Linked DNA regions of Schizosaccharomyces pombe. The gene in region 1 interacts genetically with each later gene. Each region holds a gene or a part of one and is shown on either strand. Other genes may lie near its edges. The genes, in order: tbc1 and alp1.

The links.
Region 2: mutations in tbc1 (region 1) and alp1 are lethal when combined (synthetic lethality), as found in Schizosaccharomyces pombe (one study listed by BioGRID).

The regions. Positions count from the first base shown.
Region 1 is NC_003424.3:3,491,989-3,496,630, reverse strand, and holds tbc1 (tubulin specific chaperone cofactor C Tbc1), read left to right. Parts: upstream 1-2,058; 5' UTR 2,059-2,447; coding exon 2,448-2,478; exon of another isoform or gene 2,479-2,559; coding exon 2,560-3,125; exon of another isoform or gene 3,126-3,356; coding exon 3,357-3,539; 3' UTR 3,540-4,042; downstream 4,043-4,642. Other genes in the region: rps502 (40S ribosomal protein uS7), read left to right, coding at 1-144; odc1 (2-oxoadipate/2-oxoglutarate transporter), read right to left, coding at 754-1,584, 1,856-1,921; bsd1 (heavy metal ion homeostasis protein), read left to right, coding at 4,147-4,164, 4,233-4,642.
Region 2 is NC_003423.3:3,352,546-3,358,935, reverse strand, and holds alp1 (tubulin-specific chaperone cofactor D Alp1), read left to right. Parts: upstream 1-1,888; 5' UTR 1,889-2,210; coding exon 2,211-2,357; intron 2,358-2,401; coding exon 2,402-3,490; intron 3,491-3,534; coding exon 3,535-4,521; exon of another isoform or gene 4,522-4,560; coding exon 4,561-4,943; intron 4,944-4,991; coding exon 4,992-5,121; intron 5,122-5,167; coding exon 5,168-5,385; exon of another isoform or gene 5,386-5,427; coding exon 5,428-5,791; 3' UTR 5,792-5,890; downstream 5,891-6,390. Other genes in the region: knh1 (KRE9-like protein), read right to left, coding at 303-1,157; protein Ndc80, read right to left, coding at 6,122-6,390. UniProt on the Schizosaccharomyces pombe protein: Has a function in the folding of beta-tubulin. Microtubule-associated protein that is essential to direct polarized cell growth and to position the nucleus and septum to the center of the cell during mitosis.

The DNA.
Region 1 (4,642 bases):
GCTCGTGAGGCTGCTTTCCGTAACGTCAAGTCCATTTCTGAATGCTTGGCTGAAGAAATCATCAATGCTGCTAAGGGCTCTTCCAACTCTTACGCCATCAAGAAGAAGGATGAGCTTGAGCGTGTTGCCAAGAGTAACCGTTAAAAGAGCTACGAAAAAATACTACTGGGTCTTCAACTGGATAGTCCATTTAATAAATGTATTTCATTATCTATGATTTTGTTTTTCACACCTTAAAAATAACGACTGTAGTAATCACGTAGAATATAATATTATAAATATACCGAAATGGCTGGGATGCTTGATTGAGTTTTTTCATTTGAAGGAATGAAGACATATAACAAAAATTCTAAAAAGTGTTGAAACAGATTGCGTTGTATAATTACTTATACTAATGATCGCAAATCTAAGAGAAAAACACAACGGTTTTTCGAAGGTCAATGTTTAAATCAATATGTACTCTTCAATCATGAAAGACTTGCTAAATTTAACGATTAACACAGCATCGAAATGATTAACAGGGATGGAAAATATATACATGCAATGTAAACAAAAAAAAGAGAAAATTAAGCCAAAAAACTTTTGATAACAAATATACACGTATTTAGCGATTGCTAAATACGATAAAAGAGCCCACGAATTCAAGTCGTAGGAAACTTTTTTCTTTCAACCTTTACTGAAGACCCGGCAATGAAAAAAATTTTTTTAGGAACCAAAAAAAGGGGGAGAGAAAAACAAAAAAAACCTTGATCTCTAAGCAGAGGCGTTATGTACAAGACATCTCTTGTAAAACTCTATGACAGAATTAAAAACAACCAAAAGAATACCACCACCAGGGCCCAGACGGAGTACTTTAGGGACAAAACCTTTATACAGGGCTGTAAAACCCTCTTCCCTTGCGACTGTAACTAGAGCTGGATAGGCCCAGTTATATTTTGGAACTTGGCCGGCAATACGAGGAACTGTCTGAATACGCGACTTGATAACGTCAAAGGGAGTGCTGAGGAATGTACCAAATATTCCTCCGATAGTTCCAGCAATAAGGTTATTACGGATTTCACCAATTCTGCTCGAGGCAGGCGTCAATGAATTCCGAATCTTTTGAATTACACCAAAATATCCAGCATTCCAAACGACATGGCGCCACATAGTGGCTTCAAACCCATTGTAAAGAGCTAAAATTCTCTCTTGCTTTACAATTTTAGTAAAGCAGTCGACAGTTCCGTTATACTTAGAAGCATTCTTAACGTCTTGCAAACGAATTTTCATCAGTTCGAAAGGTACGACTACGAACGTTTCAGTAAATCCTGCACATGATCCAGTGAGGATAGAAAGTGCAGGACTTGAATCCTTTCTCTTGAAGACTTTACGCCACAGCTTTGAATAAGTATCGTTGGAAGCAAATTTTAATGCACGCTTAGGAGCCTCCATCAAGATTGGAGGTAAAATTCCACGATACAAACGATGTGGACCCTCATTCTTGACGATCTTTTTGAGACAATCAAAGGTTCCATTGTAGTCTGATTTACCAACGGACAGTTGCATACGAGTTTTAACAACATCCAAAGGATACAAAGTTAGGACCTGAAAAAGAAAGAGTTAGTAAACAAGGCCATGTTAAAGGTTTTAATGGTAAAAGAGAGGTAAAGAGAGATTTAAAAAACATGGGATAAAACTTATAAAGAAGTAATTCGTTCAGCATCTACGGAATCAAACGTTTGCTTTCCTTCATCTCCAAGACAGCTCTTTTACCTTACGCAATTCATTGAGCATTTTGAAGATAATAACATTCTTCTCCGAAAGCCTTCAAACGTATCTTTCAATGAAATAAAGTGCTCCAAATAAAAAACCTTACCTCTGAGATTCCAGCAACTGCGCCGGCAGCAAATGTAACAGGAAATGGAATATTATCATGAGGCATTTTCGATAATATAGTAGTTAAACTTCAATTTTCACACTTAACAAATGCTGCTGGGCGTTGTTGTTAAGGAATGGAAGGCAAACATCTGTTGAGCTCACATACAGGTAAATTTAAGATGATTCTCAATGATAAAAGATAAGAGCCGCTAAAAATATTCATAACGATAAAATCGACAAAACTTCGTTTATTTCCAAATCTTAAAGTCATTTTGAGTTGAGTGAAGATAATTTTCATTTCAAGGCACTGTCTTCTGTACTTCGCCTTTGAAGAGTTGGATTTTTGGTTTCAATTTTAAAAATTCATAATAATTTTTGCACCCGAAGTATCGAAGTTAAGATTAAAACTAATACTGATTTGATGAATTTATTTAAGAATCCTTTTTTTCCCGAGCTGTTTGAATGACTTTTGGTGCAGGTTAAAATTGAAAAAATATATGTTTATTGAATGATCATTGAACACAGCATAACGTACTGTGATTTAATTTTGCATATATAACGGGTGTTTTAGTTCTAATTTAAAAGGAAAAATGTCTGAAAAGTTCGTCGAATTGAGAAAAGGTATGGGTTTATTTACATCTGCAATTTCGTTCATATCGAAAGGTCTGTTTGTTGTGCTATTTACTAACTACTTTTTTGTAGAATTTCTTACCAAATTATATAAATCCACTCCTAGTGAGCAGACTTCTCGCTCCGAAAAAGAGACTTGGCTTGAAGAAAAGTCAAAATATTTAGGTGAAATGACGAGGGAGCTAAATGAAGTTCAAGACCAAATTGCACCATATGACAGGAGAGTATGCATGGAACAACTAGTAGATTTGACACGAAGGCTTCAGCAAATTCGACACGACATTTTGCCCAGACAGCCATTTCGCTTTCAACGGGCACTGCACGTCAAATCGTCCCAGAAACCGGTAAAAAATATTACAGTTAATGCTGAAGCTCCAGAAGTTTATTTTGAAAATGACACCCTGTACTTGGCAAATTTGAAAAACCAAAACATTGGAGATAATGTCATTCCATATCCTAACAACAAAGCTGTCAAAGTTTCCGCAAAAAGTTTACGATCATGCAATATTTCCATATCCAACTGCTCATCTGTGAACTTACATAACGCTACAAAATGCAACTTTACTTTCCCAACCATTCAGGGTTCTATCCATCTTTCTGATATTAACGACTCAACAATCTGTGTATCGTGTCACCAAGTAAGTTTTTTTGATAAATTTGAAGGCATCTAGACGATGGTTTTGATGGAAACTATTAGTTAGACGTAGAGACTGCTATCATTATATTAGGTTGTCAATATTTAGATCCCATATTCTTAGTATGGATCACAACAATGCTGTGTAAACAAAATTGATAATGCTTTCTACTGTTTGATTTTACTTTGCCTTCTGGCCCTTCTTTTGATTGATTATATCGCTAACGCCTTCTAGTTTCGTCTTCACCATTCTACCAACCTTCGTGTGCACCTGCGATGCAAAACATCGCCCGTCATTGAAGAATCAAAGGAGATATCCTTTTCTTATAAAGATGAGCATCCTATTTTGGATTTTACTTGGGCACGCTCTGACCCGTCTCCACATTTTCGTATCACTAGTGACCTTTTTGACGCTTAAAATTCTATATGTATGCACCAAAATCATCCATTAGTAAAAATACGTAACGGTTTAGCTTGGTCTTTTACTGACATACACTCGTTGGTGCTTTTTTTTTTTAATTTAATATTCTTTCGTACGCCTTTCTAATCATTCATGTCATCCATCCATCTTACCACCAAGTCGATTATATCAGTAAATCCTTTGAGATTCCTTGTTTCTCATTTTCGACTTTTTATACCACTTCTTGTCGGAATACATATCTGATCACTAATTGTTATAACCCAAGCCATTGATTTCAATTGGCTTGTTTGGTTTATTGAAAAGAATAGATATCAAAAATAATTTATAACGGGAATTTAGCTTCTGATATGTCACCTAAAACACTCAATTCCCATATTTTTTTTTTAATCTGATTTCTCTACAGATTTTGAATATAGTTGTTACTTGCAAGTAACGATCATTAATAATACCATGGTTTCGATCCATCCTGTACTCTTCCACCACTCTGTTAATTTAAAATCAAAGAGCATTTAGTGGGTTAAAAAACAAAAATACGGAAATTTTTGGGAACGTTCATTAATCACTTTACCTCATTATATACGGGTTGAAAGATATCACAATTCCCATGAGTACTAATTCAAATGTAAGGATAAGCCTTCTTTTTATACTGTTTAAATTCCCTGATATATCAGTCTAACAAATCTATTTTAGCAAAATTCAATTCATACTCCAATACCTGAATTTCCGGAAAACCGGTCTACAAATCGATCGGAATTGGCAGCTGCTTTCGAGCCTCCAGACGACGATGTGGAATACAGTGAAACAGCACCTTTATATAGCTCTGCCAGAGCATCAATAGAAGGAGAAGAAGCTTTTTACCAACATTTATCAACGCCGGATCCTGGCAACGACTCTGGGCATGTACGTAGTAGCAATGATCGAATTCCCAGCACTTCATCAAATCATGCAGATGGCCATCACGTTGATAGTGTCTTCTCTAATTTATCTGCTAAACCCACAGTGGAATCTAATACTGAAGAACTGGAAGAGGAGCCCCCTTCTTATGAACAGGCTGCTGCGGATACCGCCCCTCCTTACTGGGATACCACTATGGTAATTCC
Region 2 (6,390 bases), on another chromosome or scaffold:
ATATGTAAAAGAACGAATGAAAAGGGAGAAAGGAAAGTAAAAATTGAACGAATGAAGAAATAACTCATGCACTTGAAGATGCTTTTACGTGAAATTAACTCCACAGAAACAGCATAATGGTAAATATGAAAAAAAACATGACTTTAGATAACAAATAACCAAAATATTTTGTTTTCTTTGACGAACGACTCAATGTATTTGAGCTAAAGGAAGCAGACAAAAATGCACACAGTAATATCCTAGTGTGCTAATGAAAAATCTAAATGACATGAAAGGCTTTGGCCTTAAAAAAAATTAACAATTTAGGAATATAACAACCCACGTTTGTGTTCACCTAAACGCATCCCACGTTTCGGAGCAGCTTGAGCCCAGCTGTCTCGTCTCCTTAAACCAGCAGTTGGAGTTGCGATTATAGTAGGCTTAGAGGCCGTACTAGCATAATTAGCATACAACGTATACATGTACGTTGGAGATGCAAAGACAGTCGAGGTGGCAATGGGAGGACCTGCAAACGTGGTAAATACGGAATAAGAGGAAGTTTCCCATAGCGGTTGTATGTCGGTCGTAGCAGCAGTAAAAGTAGAATCTGGTCGATTTTGAATAGGTCCTGTACGGAGAACACCGGTAGTTTGAGATAGATACCAATCTCGCATTGTACCTGTAGGCCATACACCAAGAAAAGTGCTAAAACCAGTAAGGGTAGGAACATAAGGATACACACCAAGAGCCATCAAAGACGCATAAATTTCGTAATTATCAAAAGTTCCTGTTAGACCATTAACAGTGAAAAAGTCAGTATAGTCATTAACTATACCACCAGCATATGTAGATTGTGCCCAAAGAAAGTAAAGACGTCCAGCTGGTCCAAAAACCTGAGAAATAGCGAAGGGTCCAGCTTGGGATATAGAAGAAGGACTAGGGGACGTATACAAGACTGCACAAGGTTGAGGAGCATCCATGCTACCACTACATATATAAAAAACTGTGTTGGTTATGTCCTCAAGAGGTATTCCCGTATTAGATTCTTCCCATGAAAACGAAATAGCGGTAAAATCCATACTATCTGTTGTCGCCGGAGTGACGAATCGAATTTGCGCACATACATAATGTATGTATGAGCAGACTAGCAATACTAGCATCAACATGGTGGTTTTCATTAAATTCGACGGCTTGAAGAGACTTTGCAAATTTAGTGGTAAGCGATATATATAAATCGTTGCTCTGACAACAGGGATGTATATCGAAACACCTTATTTGACATGTGTAAACAAATAATCGAGAAAAGTTGGTTTATTGTAAGCTAATAAAAGTGATTTTTTTATTTTTTTTTATTTTTTATTTCATGCAATAAATTTCGGCTTAACTCAAAAATATATATCACGAACAAGCTGGATATAGTTAACACTGAATATGTTTTAACCTGAAACCTCTAATTCAAATTCTCTTCAGTTTAGCAAGTACTTACAATTGCTCTGTAAATTTATGCCGACTAGTTTAAAGGCCAACATCTTGGGAAAATTATTGTAACGTTTGAGAATCTTTAAGTAAAGATCTATTTAAACGATACTGCTATACATTTGTAATATCAAATGCTAGTCTTGTACCAAAAGAATGAATAACATGCGAACTTACTGAATCTATGTCGTGAATATTATGTCTACTCTATGAAATAATTGCGTTAGAGCTGTCAATATATAGGCCCTTTACTACCAGATATGCTTACTGTCTGGCTGTATTCCTAATTCATTCGCAGAAATAATATATCATTTACAAATATCACAGTGGTTGCTCCAAAAGCATTCTTAATAACTGCTCACGTTTAGATTTGAGATTTGAAATATCAGTAGTGGGTACAGATTACACCACCACAATAATTTACCTTTTTATTATCCCACTTTTCATAATGTTTTTCAATATCAAAGCTTGTGAAATTTAATCGTTAATAAATCTTACAGGTCTAAAATTATTCAAACTTGTTTTATTTTCTTATTGGTATCATTTGCAACCTCATGAGTGACAAAGGAGGAAATTGTCCAAGGCAATACAGAAAATTAGGGACCAAGTTTTTTTTTTAGGACGAAAGAAATTCTAAAAGAAAGGAGATTAACATATTTTTTCGCTTTATTCGTTTTTCATAATTTATTCAACACGCGTTAATTGCTTAAAGTCGTTACAGTCAAAAATAATCATAGCATAAATTTTAAACAAAAATGGAAGAAGAAGAATCTTTAGAAGGAATTATTTCTATAGATGAGTCTTTGATAACCTCACGTTTATCGCAAATTCTCGATGATGTTTTAGACGATAGAAGTTCTTCACATTCTGTGGAAAAACTTAAAGACGTCGCTGTTAAATATGTATGTTTAAAAAGATATTGTGACCTTTCTAATTAAAATTCTAGTTGCAATTTTGTCAATTTCAGCCGACATTGCTCGATAAACTACTGAGTAAATACGTTCCAAACTTGGCTAGCTATTTACTGAAAGTGAAAAATATCGGAAAATGTAACTCAATTACCGTTATCCTTTACCAGTTTTGTAAAATAAGAGGATATAAAGCTGTTCGCGTCCTCTTTCCTGTTGGCGTTCAATATATTAAGGAATTATATACATTATTAAATGAATCATCAAATAATACCTGGCATTTTCACTACATAGTTTTACTGTGGCTTTCTCAAGCACTCAATACCCCATTCCCGTTAAATTCATTAGATGATTCCTTGGATGTGAAGAAGACCATTTACACTATAGCAATTAAATACTTAGAAAATTCGGGAATAGACAAAGAAGCTTCTTGTCTTGTTTTGTCCCGATTATTCTCTCGTGATGACGGTTTGGATTTACTTCTAGGCTTTCTACACCACTGTGAGAGTAGTTGGTTTAAGAGAAGTATCTTTTACAAAATTGGGTGTCTTTTTTCCTTATCTTCTTTTCTTAAAATTTGTCCGAGAAATGATTGTCTTCAAACAGTTGATGTTGCGTTTCAGTTTCTGAATGTAGCACGAGAAGATTTAGTTGGACAAGAAAATTCAGCGTTGAGGAAATTATTATGCAAATGTTATACAAGATTGGGAATTGTATTGCTGCCTGTAAATTCATCCCCTAATTGGAAATACTCGATCAGTAACCCAGATAGTTTCTTTCAATTACCTGATGACTCTAACGAAGAAGTACATATATATCTGGAGGTTATTGTTGATTTTTTATTGTCATCTGTAAGCGACATAGACAGTTTTGTACGCTGGTCTGCAGCCAAAGGGCTAGCCAAGATCATAAGTCGTTTGCCCTGGAATTTGGCTGAGCAAGTTATCGATGCCATTATTGAATTGATGACAGAAAATATGTTTTTAAACCCCATAGAAAACACTGTAAACATATCAATTACTTCTCCACTGGTTTGGCACGGAGCTATACTTTTCTTCGCAAAACTAGCAGGTGCAGGTTTAATTAAGTATAGTAAATGTTTACATATTCTTCCATTGATCGAAGTAGTAAGTACACTTTGTTTTCTTATATCATTCTAATCCTTATTTAGGGCTTATCATACGAAGTAAGATATGGAACTAGAGTAACAGGACAAAGCATCAGAGATGCCTCCTGTTATTTTGTTTGGTCATTTTATCATTGCTACTCTAAGTCAGCAATTGAAGGCTTACAAACGAATCTTATTTTATGTCTCTTACAAACGGTATTGTTTGACAATGAAATAAATGTGCGCAGAGCTGCAACTGCTGCTTTATTTGAGGTGATTGGCAGACACGCTTCTATTCCCGATGGGCTTTCTTTGATATCACATATTAACTATGTTTCTGTAACGGATATTTCAAATTGTTATGGTGACTTGTGTATGAAAGTAGCTCATTTTCCTCAGTTTCGTTCCTGTGTTTTCCAAAGACTATTTACAAACCTTCAGCACTGGGACGTGAAGGTACAGCAGCTTTCTGCTTTTTCCCTAAGACAACTTTCTATTAAATATCCCAAAGAGCTAAGCATCTATCTTCCTCCCATACTTGATTATTTGTCTGTTGGTAATGCAGATTTTATTTTTGGCTATACGATTGGATTGGCAAGTATTATAGGTGGATTTTTATCCATAAGCTTCCCGTTCGATATAAATCGTATCCATGATTTACTGTCGCACAAAAACCTACTGTCCTTAAAAAAATTTTCAAGGCAACAGCAAACAAAAATTATTTTGGGAATTTTAAAAGGAATTCAACAAATTTTTGCCAATGATATTCGTGTTGACAGAGCATTTTTCAGTGAAGCATTTTCTGTTATAATCGCTGCTATTGATTTACAGGAGGAAACAATCATAAAAGACATCAGTGACGCTTACAGTGTACTTGTTAAATTTGATGATATGGAAGAAACATTGGAGGTTCTTCTTGACTATATACGAAAATGCTCAACAAGTAAAGAAGCGAGAATTGTATACATTATTCTACAGAATTTACCGAATATAAGTTTTCGATACCAGAAAAAGATATGCAAGCTTTTATTGGATATTTATCCCCAACTCGTAAGTAAAGAATTTTTTCACCAATGTTAACATGAACAGCACTCAATAGACTATCAAGCACCTGTTGCGAATGCGCTTCAAAATATTATTCCCTTTACTTATGAAAAAACAGAAAGCATTGAAGAATTTGTCAAAGAATTACTTCAGGTTTGCTCCAATTATTTGACAGATACCCGAGGAGATGTTGGCTCATGGATTCGCAAACCTGCAATGAAGGCCATTTCCAGTCTATTAGTCAAAGATTCATCTGGAAAAAAATTAAGTGAAGATATAGTTTGGTGTTGTATTTCCTATATTATAAGGCAAACATTTGATAAAATTGATAGTTTGAGGGGTTTGGCATATCAAGCACTCGAACAAATCAGAGTACATTACCTAATCAGAAGATGCGAAGCTTTGACTAATATTATTAATCGTATTAGGTAAAATGAGTTTTCAATTAAAATTCTGCTATTAACCACTAGTTTCAGGAATAATCCAAATATGGATGGAGAGGTACTAAATGAACTGAATATATCTCTGCTAGAAATACCTAATTTAAGGCTTCAAGCTTTTTACGGAATTACAGTATTTACTGCCGATGGTTTTGGCAGTGACTTAGTAAGTTATCATATGCTTCGATGTCTTAATATACTAACTCTACTAGGCAGTTAAATGTTTTGAATTTTATCTAAGTTATGTTTACCAGTTAGAAGATTCGTTTAAAAAATCTAACTCTCGTTATGGTAAACGGGATCTTCTACAACTCTATATAGACATACTTTCTTCGGAGGATGAAATAGCTCGTTTCTATTTTCCAATCATGAAATCTTTCACATCTTTGTTAGCATATGGTTGTTTCACGGACTTTCAAAACGTTAAGGGGTATGTTTTTTTACATTTTGTTCAAAATACTAATGATATCAGCATGTCAAAAGCGATTTTTATTGTACAGAGAAGGGCTCTTACTTGTAAATCACCAGGGGGACTTTCTGCGATACTAGAGTTATATCGGACGCTTTTTCTTTCCAAAAATGAACTTTTGAGGCATCATGCTTTAAAATATACGGCAAACCTACTATTAAACCCGATTGAAAAAGTACGCTACCAAGCAGCCGACACTTTGCTCTATGCGAAGTCAATTGGTTTGCTAACTTTCCTCCCTAATGAATTAAACCAAAAACTACTGACTTTGGATTGGTTCGTACCAGTATCTCAAAACGCAACTTTTGTTAAACAGCTAAGGAATATAATACAGAAACAAATAGATAAACTGATAGCTGATCGATAATAAATTTTGAACTACTTTCAGCTTTTTAAATAGTCGTGTATATGATGTATAAAAACGTTAAAATCTGCAATCAATAAAATATCTGGTGAATAATCTCAAATTTTTAGCCAAAACAGTTCGTGCTTATGTAGTACTAAATTGATGTCCATAAAAGGAACACAACCAATAAAAATTACATTTGAAAATTGAGAGTTGAATTATTATTACCTTCATTAGAATTGTAATTAAAAAGTAAGAGATTAAAGCATAAAACACAAAAACACCATCGTGATAAAAAAATGTATTCATGAGCCGTGAATATAGTAGACAGCACAATACGATGAATAGAATTTACAGTTCCGAACGAGATAGGTCATCCAATTCCTTTTGGTAGTCCATCTTCAAATCCTCCAAACTGTCTTGAACGTGTAGCTTGAAATGTATTATTTCACCAAGCACAAATGCAACCTCTTTATATATATTGTTTTTGTACTCCATGCAAGCATGTGCAATTTGATCCGCTTCGATATTTATACTTTGTATACGCTGGTCTAATTGAAGCATGCTGTTATGCGAAGAAAGTTTGAGCTGTTGTAATTCTCTTTCTAACTTATCCGATT